Ovis aries: one gene and its partner. The protein of the gene in region 2 purifies or fractionates together with the protein of the main gene of each other region. This does not show direct contact. Links are inferred from orthologs where the notes say so. Each region holds a gene or a part of one and is shown on either strand. Other genes may lie near its edges.

What was found.
Region 1: the proteins of PIAS4 (region 2) and SMAD4 purify together in Homo sapiens (affinity purification with western blotting, with the first as the bait; 3 studies listed by BioGRID). This does not show direct contact. The link is inferred for Ovis aries from reciprocal best matches to the Homo sapiens genes PIAS4 and SMAD4.

Annotation. Positions count from the first base shown.
Region 1 is NC_056076.1:50,866,261-50,870,808, forward strand, and holds the start of SMAD4 (mothers against decapentaplegic homolog 4), read left to right. Parts: upstream 1-1,651; coding exon 1,652-1,900; intron 1,901-2,791; coding exon 2,792-2,966; intron 2,967-3,392; coding exon 3,393-3,422; intron 3,423-4,548. UniProt on the Homo sapiens protein: In muscle physiology, plays a central role in the balance between atrophy and hypertrophy. When recruited by MSTN, promotes atrophy response via phosphorylated SMAD2/4.
Region 2 is NC_056058.1:17,788,021-17,791,836, forward strand, and holds part of PIAS4 (E3 SUMO-protein ligase PIAS4), read right to left. Parts: intron 1,667-3,816; coding exon 1,582-1,666; intron 976-1,581; coding exon 934-975; intron 531-933; coding exon 440-530; intron 335-439; coding exon 206-334; intron 103-205; coding exon 1-102.

The DNA of each region.
Region 1 (4,548 bases), on a different chromosome or scaffold from region 2:
CCTTTATGGGTAAAATCTTCTGAGGAATTCAGTGGTGTCTCTTTTTTAATAATAACTTTATTGATGTGTTAATTCACATACTATAAAAGTCTCCCTTTTAAGGTGTATGATTTGATGGTTTTCCCTATAGTGACAGTTATGCAGCCATCACAAGTATCAATTTTAGAACATTTTCATTACCCCTGAAGGACTGGTGGCTCAGTGGTAAAGAATCTGCCTGCATTGTAGGAGACACCAGAGATGTGGGTTCGATCCCTGGGCTGGAAAGATCTCCTGGAGAAGGACATGGTTACTCACTCCAGTATTCTTGCTGGAGAATTCCATGGACAGAGGAGCCTGGCACTTTATATAGTTCATGGAGTTGAAAAGAGACAGGGCTTAGCAACTGATGCAAAGGAAATGCCATACCTATTAGCAATCATTCCTCACCCTCCCCTACCTAAACCTTTGGCAACCACTAATCCACTTTTTTTTTTTTTTTGGTGCTTTGCCTGTTCTGGATGTTTCATATAAACGGGGCTATATAGCAAGTGGCCTTCTGTGACTTTCACTTAGCGTGTTTTCCAGGTTCATCCATGTTGAAGCATGTACCAGTACTTCATTCTTATTGATGACTAGATAATATTACATTGTATATATTGATACATTCATCAGTTGATGGGAATTTGAGTTGTTTTGGCTATTAGGAATGATACTGCTGTGAACATTTATGTACATATTTTTGTGTGGGCATAGGTTTTTGGTAATTTTGGATGGAATTGCTGAGGGTATGATCCCTGGATTATATGGTAACTTTGTGTTTAACATTTTGAGGAATTGTCAGAGTCCTTTTCCAAGGTGGCTGTACCATTTTGCAATCCCATGTGCAGTGTATGAGGGTTCCATTTTCTCACGAATGCTTTTTGTCTGTTGTTTAGATTTATCCACCTGGTGAATGTTAAGTGGTATCTCTTTGTAGTTTTGATTTGCAGTTCAGTAATGATTAATGATTTTGAGTATCTTTCATGTCCTTATTGGCCATTCTTCTTTGGCAAAATGAGTATTAGAATCCTTTGCCCATTTAAAAATTATTCATCTTTTTATTGTTGTCGGTGATCTCTTATAACAAAGATGGCTATTGCTGATGGATAAACAGCATTTGGTGCCAGGTGATGGCGAATTTTTCATGTGTATTAGTGGTTGACTTTTAGCTTTAGTTACTTGTTAATCAAGAATATTTTAAAGTGCTGCTCTTCAGAAGTAATCCATTTTAAAGGTTCTGTTAAGATTTTACTTTAGGGTGGCTAGTACAGTCAACAAGACTTGATTGAACATGCCTCTATAATAATAAGGTCTAACTTTAATATTTTGGGAATGTCAAAAACGGCAACATTTTAATTAAATCATTTAAAACTCTAAGCACCACATTTAATTATGTGCATTGAGTCTTTGACTTAATTGAAGCAATTCCATCTTTTCCAAAGTAATTGAATCTGCTTTATGAAATGTGTTCTGATATCTGTCTCTCTCTGTTTTTTTTAGATTATCCTGAATACTACATGTCTAACAGTTTTTCTTGCAACGTTAACTGTTGTTTTTCGCTGCTTCCAAAAGATCAAAATTGCTCCAGAAATTGGAGACATATTTGATTTAAAAGAAATAACTTTAACAAATGGACAATATGTCTATTACGAATACACCAACAAGTAATGATGCCTGTCTGAGCATTGTACATAGTTTGATGTGCCATAGACAAGGTGGAGAGAGTGAAACATTTGCCAAAAGAGCAATTGAAAGTTTGGTTAAAAAGCTGAAGGAGAAAAAAGATGAATTGGATTCTTTAATAACAGCTATAACTACAAATGGAGCTCACCCTAGCAAGTGTGTTACCATACAGAGAACATTGGACGGAAGGCTTCAGGTTAGTCTTGTTCCAAGGTTTCTTCTGTACTTTGTAATGGCAGGTTTTTACAAATCCTTGTTTCCTCTTAAGTTACTATGGAAATTTCATGCTTGCTCCATCTCTTTAGATACTGTAGTACATCCTATAGTACAGATATTATCAATACAGGATCCTGTACTAATACACTATATGGAAATAAATGGAAGGATGTATCTTCTTTCAATAGAGGTATAGCTTAAAAGTTTTTAAAAATGTTTTGACTAAAAAAAATGTTCAGTATAGAAAATTTGGAAAATAAAAATCAGAAGAAAACCTACGTCTTTAGCCCTTTGGTATTCATCCTTGTAGCCTTTTTTTCTTTTTTGGTATTATATGTACAACTCAGCTTGCTTTCTTTCCTTTTTTTTTTTCTTATAATTTAGAAATTTGGTATTGTATGTCTGGTACTTTTATGTGAAAAACAATCCAGAAGAATTCAACAATATTTCTAAAACTTACGGAGTTAACTTAAATTTACAAGTCTTTACCTTTTGTTTCCAGGGATCAAATTTTTCATGTAGAATTACATAATCTCATGTGTTTGATATTTTTAAAGAAACATATAGAAAACATAATGTTAGGTTTAAAATTTTTTATTTCTAGATTTTAGGTATTGTTTCTTCATTAAACGCATACTTTTTTTGTGTATTTTTAAAACCTGAGCCTAAGCCTTGAAATCATACTTTAAGTTTACTACTTTGTGACCTTGTCCAATTAAGTTATTTTGCACTTTAGTTTTCTCGTTTAAGAAATAGGAATTTTAATACTGACTTTGTAGGATTGCAAGGATTAAATGAGAGTGTATCAAGTGCCTTGTATAATGTGTGATGCATAATTGATGCTCATTAAATGGTTATTTACTTTTCTTAGGTGGCTGGTCGGAAGGGATTTCCTCATGTGATCTATGCCCGTCTCTGGAGGTGGCCTGACCTTCACAAAAATGAACTAAAACATGTTAAATATTGTCAGTATGCATTTGACTTAAAATGTGATAGTGTCTGTGTGAATCCATATCACTATGAACGAGTTGTATCACCTGGAATTGGTAAGCAGGCTTCACTTCTATGCTTAGAAGCATAAAGGGGAAAGATATCAATAGTGTTTTAATTTTTCTAAGTTAGATTGTAAATTTGGAGATAGCCTAGGATTTCAACTAATTTTAAAACTCAGATATTTTTAATGAAATAACGTGTATTTAAATTTGAATTCTGAGAAAGCTTATATTTTGACTACTAAAACTAAGTGTACATACTTGATATTTTTCCTGTGTAGAACACTGTTATTGAAAAATAAGATGGAAAGCACTTTTGCATTGTTAGATAGCATTTATACTACTATTCTTGAATTGAAATGGTTCATGAAAATTTTGAATCTCTGGCTTAAATTTATATTCTGTAATTTTAAATATGGTGGAAATTATTTTCATTATAATGATTAATATTTTATTTTTTTTCCCCTTTAAAAATTTAAGATCTCTCAGGATTAACACTGCAGAGTAATGGTAGGTAATCCCTTTTCTTTTAACTTTCTCTCTTCTTTTATCCCATGCCCTTTATTTTTTATTGACTTAGAACTAGTCTGTATGGGTGGGTGCTGATAACATTTACAAGAAAAGTACTTACTGCTTTGAAAATGTACATTTTGCAGGGGTTGGGGGCATGCATCAGCATTTAAAACTGGATTTAGTAGGCTATTGACTCTTTGAATTTGAACTGCTATTTATGATTGCAAGTAGAATAAAAAATGTGATGGGGAACATAAAACATACACAGAAAGAGTAACTTTTGAATTGGTAAAAACTGGCTATTTTAGAAGTAAATCTCACAGAACCAGTTTCAGTAGTTATAAATAACCTGTTTGATAATTTAGAATCATGTGTAACATAGTTTAAAAACACCCAAATTCTCAGTTTTCTTTATTTCAGCCGAACTTATTTTTATGATTGATAATTTTGTGAATGACTTAAAACTGTATACTATATTAATTTTTTTTCAGTCTTGTTATATTTTGAGTAAATAAAACTAGGCTACTTTAAAGTATATGGTAATCACAGATGTTCTAGGCCTATTTTTAAAAGGAGAAAGTTTTGAGATAGGAAAATGAAACAAACAGGAGTGTGTTTTTTATTTTTCATGTAGTATTTGAGAACAGAGATCTGTTAAAACTTTAGCTCTGTTCCTTGGAACATGTTAATGAGCTAAAATTTCTGTAAGAACTAGTTACTTTGAACAGAAACTGATAAAAAGCCACTGTCACCTTAGAAGGCTTCCCTGATGGCTCAGATGGTAAAGAATCTGCCTGGAATGTGAGACCTGGGTTTGAACCCTGGGTCGGTCAGGAAGATCCTCTGGAGGAGGAAATGGCAAACCACTCCAGTGTTCTTGTCTGGAAAATGCCATGGACAGAGGAGCCTGGTGGGCTACAGTCTGGGGTCGCAAATAGTCAGACACCACTGAGAAACTAAACCAATACTATCACCTTAGAAAGGTGTGCCGTTGTTCTGAAGGGGAATTAGTGGTTCAGCAGCACTTTTGCTACAGAATCCTAGAAATGTGTCAGAAGTATCATCTGACCTTGAAATTTGGGAAGAGCATGAAAGGCTCCTTGTTTTTATTCTCCACTTCTCT
Region 2 (3,816 bases):
TGCCTTGCACAGCTCCGGGTGCTTGACCCCGATGGTCTTCAACCTCTGCAGCAGCTCTGAGGAGGTCAGCTGCCGCACCAAGTACAAGGCCACGGAATAACTCTGGGGGCGGCGGGGCGGGAAAGGGCGGTTTAGTCAGGGCCGGGCTGCGGGGGCAGGCTGGGCAGAGGCGCTTGGGCAGAGGCAGGCGGGACCGGCCACTCACCTTGCCGTAGTTGCCCCAGGTGACAGTGATGCGGTTGGTGGCCGAGGACAGGTACATGAGGTGGGTGAGGTTGATGGGGCGGCACGGCCTCTTGGGCTCCACTCCAGGTTTGTTTGAGGGGTAGTAGCCCTGGGAGCAGACGCGCCAGCTGCGACCACCTCTAGGTGCTGTGCCCCCGCCCCTCAGCACTCGGCCCCACCCCACAGCAGACCCGGCTGCTGGGCATCCACTCACCGGCACCGAGCAGTAGCTGTGGTTGACCTTCACGGCGATGTTGGGTGGGTACTGGTCTTCCTGAGGGCTGCTGGTGTCTGAATAGCAGATTCTGCAAGGACAATGAGGACCATGGGGTCATGAGCACTGTGGGCAGGGGTGGGCCCGCTGGGAGAGGTGGGGAGGGCAGATGGGGGCCTAGGGGGAGATGACATGACCTGTGTCTGGTCTGGCCTGACAGGGGATCTCAATGCTAGACTGTACAGGTGTGGGGAGGTCCCCAGGGACCCAGTGTCTGGCCTGAGGTGGGGGTGGGGGTGGGCAGCGGCAGCATGCCGGCGCATCCAGGGACAAGGCCAGAGAGCAGAAAGGGAGGATCAGGTGGAGGCGGAGGCAGTCTGAGAGGATCCTGGAGTGGGGTGAGGCAGGGCTTCAGCCATCCAGGATGGTGGAGGGGAAGGTGGGCAAGGGTTGTGTCCCCACCCACCCCTGTGACCAGGCACACCTGGGCTTACCTTAGGACAACCTGCACGGCCTTGACCCCAGGCTGCAGTTCTCTGTGTGGGGAGCAGAGGAGGGTCAGTGAGAGGGCCTGTGCCCAGCAGCCAGTTTGAGCCTTAGTCAGGGACCAGCCAGGTGGACTAACCCGCGACCTCCCACGGCAACCAAAGGCCTCAGGGCACTGCCTAGAACATTCTCCCCCACCGTCTACTTGCTGGTGACTTGGGCAAATGATCTCTCTCTGGAGAATGGGGGCCAGTGTAGAGGGTAAGAGGGCTAGTGGGTGTGGGCCCTGTGCCTACCGGGCGGCTGCCCTGGTGGTCACTTGTCCCAGCTGGACACTGAAGGCCTCAAGGGGCAGAGTCAGAGCCTGGGACCAGCCTGCCTCCCTTGTCTGCTCACCCAGGGTGGTCCTGTCCCCAGGGGACACAGGTGGTCACCACTGGGGGCTCCTGGTCTTAAGGAGGTAGGGGCAGGATGTTGCCCCACACCCCACAGAGAACGACCCCATCCTGGATGTTGGGAGCAGTGAGGGGGACCTTGTGAAAGGGTGATGACTGGCCCACCTGGGGCCTGTGGGTCAAAGGTGCTGAGAGTGTGTGGTGGGGGCCACCCTTCCTGGTGAAGGCTTCCCGGGCTGCCTGGTGGCGGGCACAGCGCACCTGGAGTTCCGGATCAGCTCCACCTGTCTGGGGGTCAAGGCGAAGATGCAGGGGCTCTCCTGAAGCTTCTCATTATTCTGTGGAACTGACAACAAACGTGGGGTCAGGGTCAGGCCTGGGCCCTGGCAAGGGTGCCAACCACCATCATCCCTCTAGGCCTGACCCTGTTCAGACTGGGCCCACCCAGGTGGGATGGAGGCAGGGCCCACTGGGGATAGTGGGGGGTTGGATTCTGCCCCTTCCTAGGGCCATTCATCACAGCCTATGGTCCAGGGAACACTCACATCCCCCATGTCCCCCACTGAGGGCCTCTTGGGAAGCAGCAGGCTCTACAACCCCTCTGTTCAAGAGGGCTGAGAACTGGACTTTCCTGGTGGTCCAGTGATTGAGAATCCACCTGCCAATGCAGAGGCCCAGGTTCCATCCCTGGTCAGGGAACTGGATCCCACAGGCTGCAACCTAAGAGTTCACACACTAAAACTAAAGTTCCCACTTCACAACTAAGGCCTGGCATAGCCCAATAAATACATAAATAAATGTGTGTGTTTTTAATGAAATGGGTTTAGGAGGCAAAAAAAAATAAATAAATAAAAGAAAAGGATTTTAAAGTGAAAGCTGTATGCTTCCTCCACAAGAGGCTAGGAAAAAAAGCACAAACTAAAAGCCAAAGCCATTAGAAGGAAGGAAACTAAAGATAAAGATGAAAGTCGATGAACTAGAAAGCCAACAACAGAGAAAACCAACAAAGCCAAAGTTCTTTGATAAACACTGAGCTAGACTGAACAGTAAGACTGTGAGAATACCAACTGTCAGGAACGAGAGATGACAGCAGTAGAGACCCTAGGGCCTTTGACCAGGGTGGGCGGGGGGAGCAGGAGAGGGGGCTGTAACTTCACACCAATAAATTCAATAATGTAGAGGGTACGAACAAACTCTTCCAAACACACAGATTATCAAGACTAGCATCGAAACATACAGAAAGTATGACAAGCTTTTTATCAGTTTAAAAAAAAAAAATGAACTCGTGATTCCATCAGATGTTTAAGGAAGAAGTCATATGAACTACATATAAACTCTTCCAGGGAATTCCCTGGTGGCCTAGTGGTTATGATTCCAGGCTTTCATTACTGGGGCCGGGGTTCAATCCCTGGTTGGGGAACTGAGATTCCACAAGCCTCTCAGCACGGTCATAAATAAAACAGACAAACTCTTTCAGAAAGGAAAGGAGGAAGGACACTTCTTGACTCATTTTAATGAGGCCAACATAACCCTGCTTCCAAAACCTGACAGAACTGCATGAAGAAAGGAAAAACATAGCTGAGTATCTGTCATGAATGTGAAACATCTTTAACAAAACACGAGCAAACAGCCAGGCCTCTGGGATATGGCCCAGGAATGCAAGGTTGGTTTAAAAACCTCTACTCAGGGACCTTCCTGGTGGTCCACTGGTTGAGGATCTGCACTTCCACTGCGGGGGGTCAGGTCGGATCCCTGGTCAGGACACTAAGATCTGGCATGCCACTCAAGGCATGGCCAGTAAATACACAAACAGATGAAACCTACGAAACCTCTCCTTACAATGGCTAAAAATGACAAGGCCAGCCGTGCCAAGTGTTGCCAAGGATGTGGGGCAACCAGAACTCTCTGCTGAGGTAACAGCGAACATGGCTGTGACGTGAACAACCACCCTGGAAAACTGTTAGCCAATGGCTAATAGAATAAAACATATATCTGGCCCTGTGACCAGCAACCCACTGTTAAAGGTATTTCCCAAATAAGCAGAAGTCAGTCTACAAAAAGACTTGTGCAAGAATGCCTGGCTAATCTATTGCGTGTAGCTCTGAACTGGAAGCAACCCGCCTGACCAGCAATAGGAGAGCACGTGGACAAGCTGTGGTACCTTCATACGATAAAACCTGTAATCCAGTCACCGACATGAACGGACGTGAAGCCACACAGCTGAAACAAAGAAGGCAGATGCAGAGATGGCCATGCTCTGTGTGTTATGTCACCTTCCTGAAGAGGCAAAACTAATCCACGGTGACAGAACTCAGAACAGAGGCGGCCTCTGGGGGCAGTGGGGGGGGGGGGGCGACTCAGCAGGGATGGAAATGTTCTGTGTTTGGTGGCACTGATGTTACTCAGCACATGCCTCTGCTACAACTCAAATGACAAGCTAAGTATCTGTGGATTTCACTGTATGGAAACTGGATTTTAAAGTTAAAAAATTTAAAA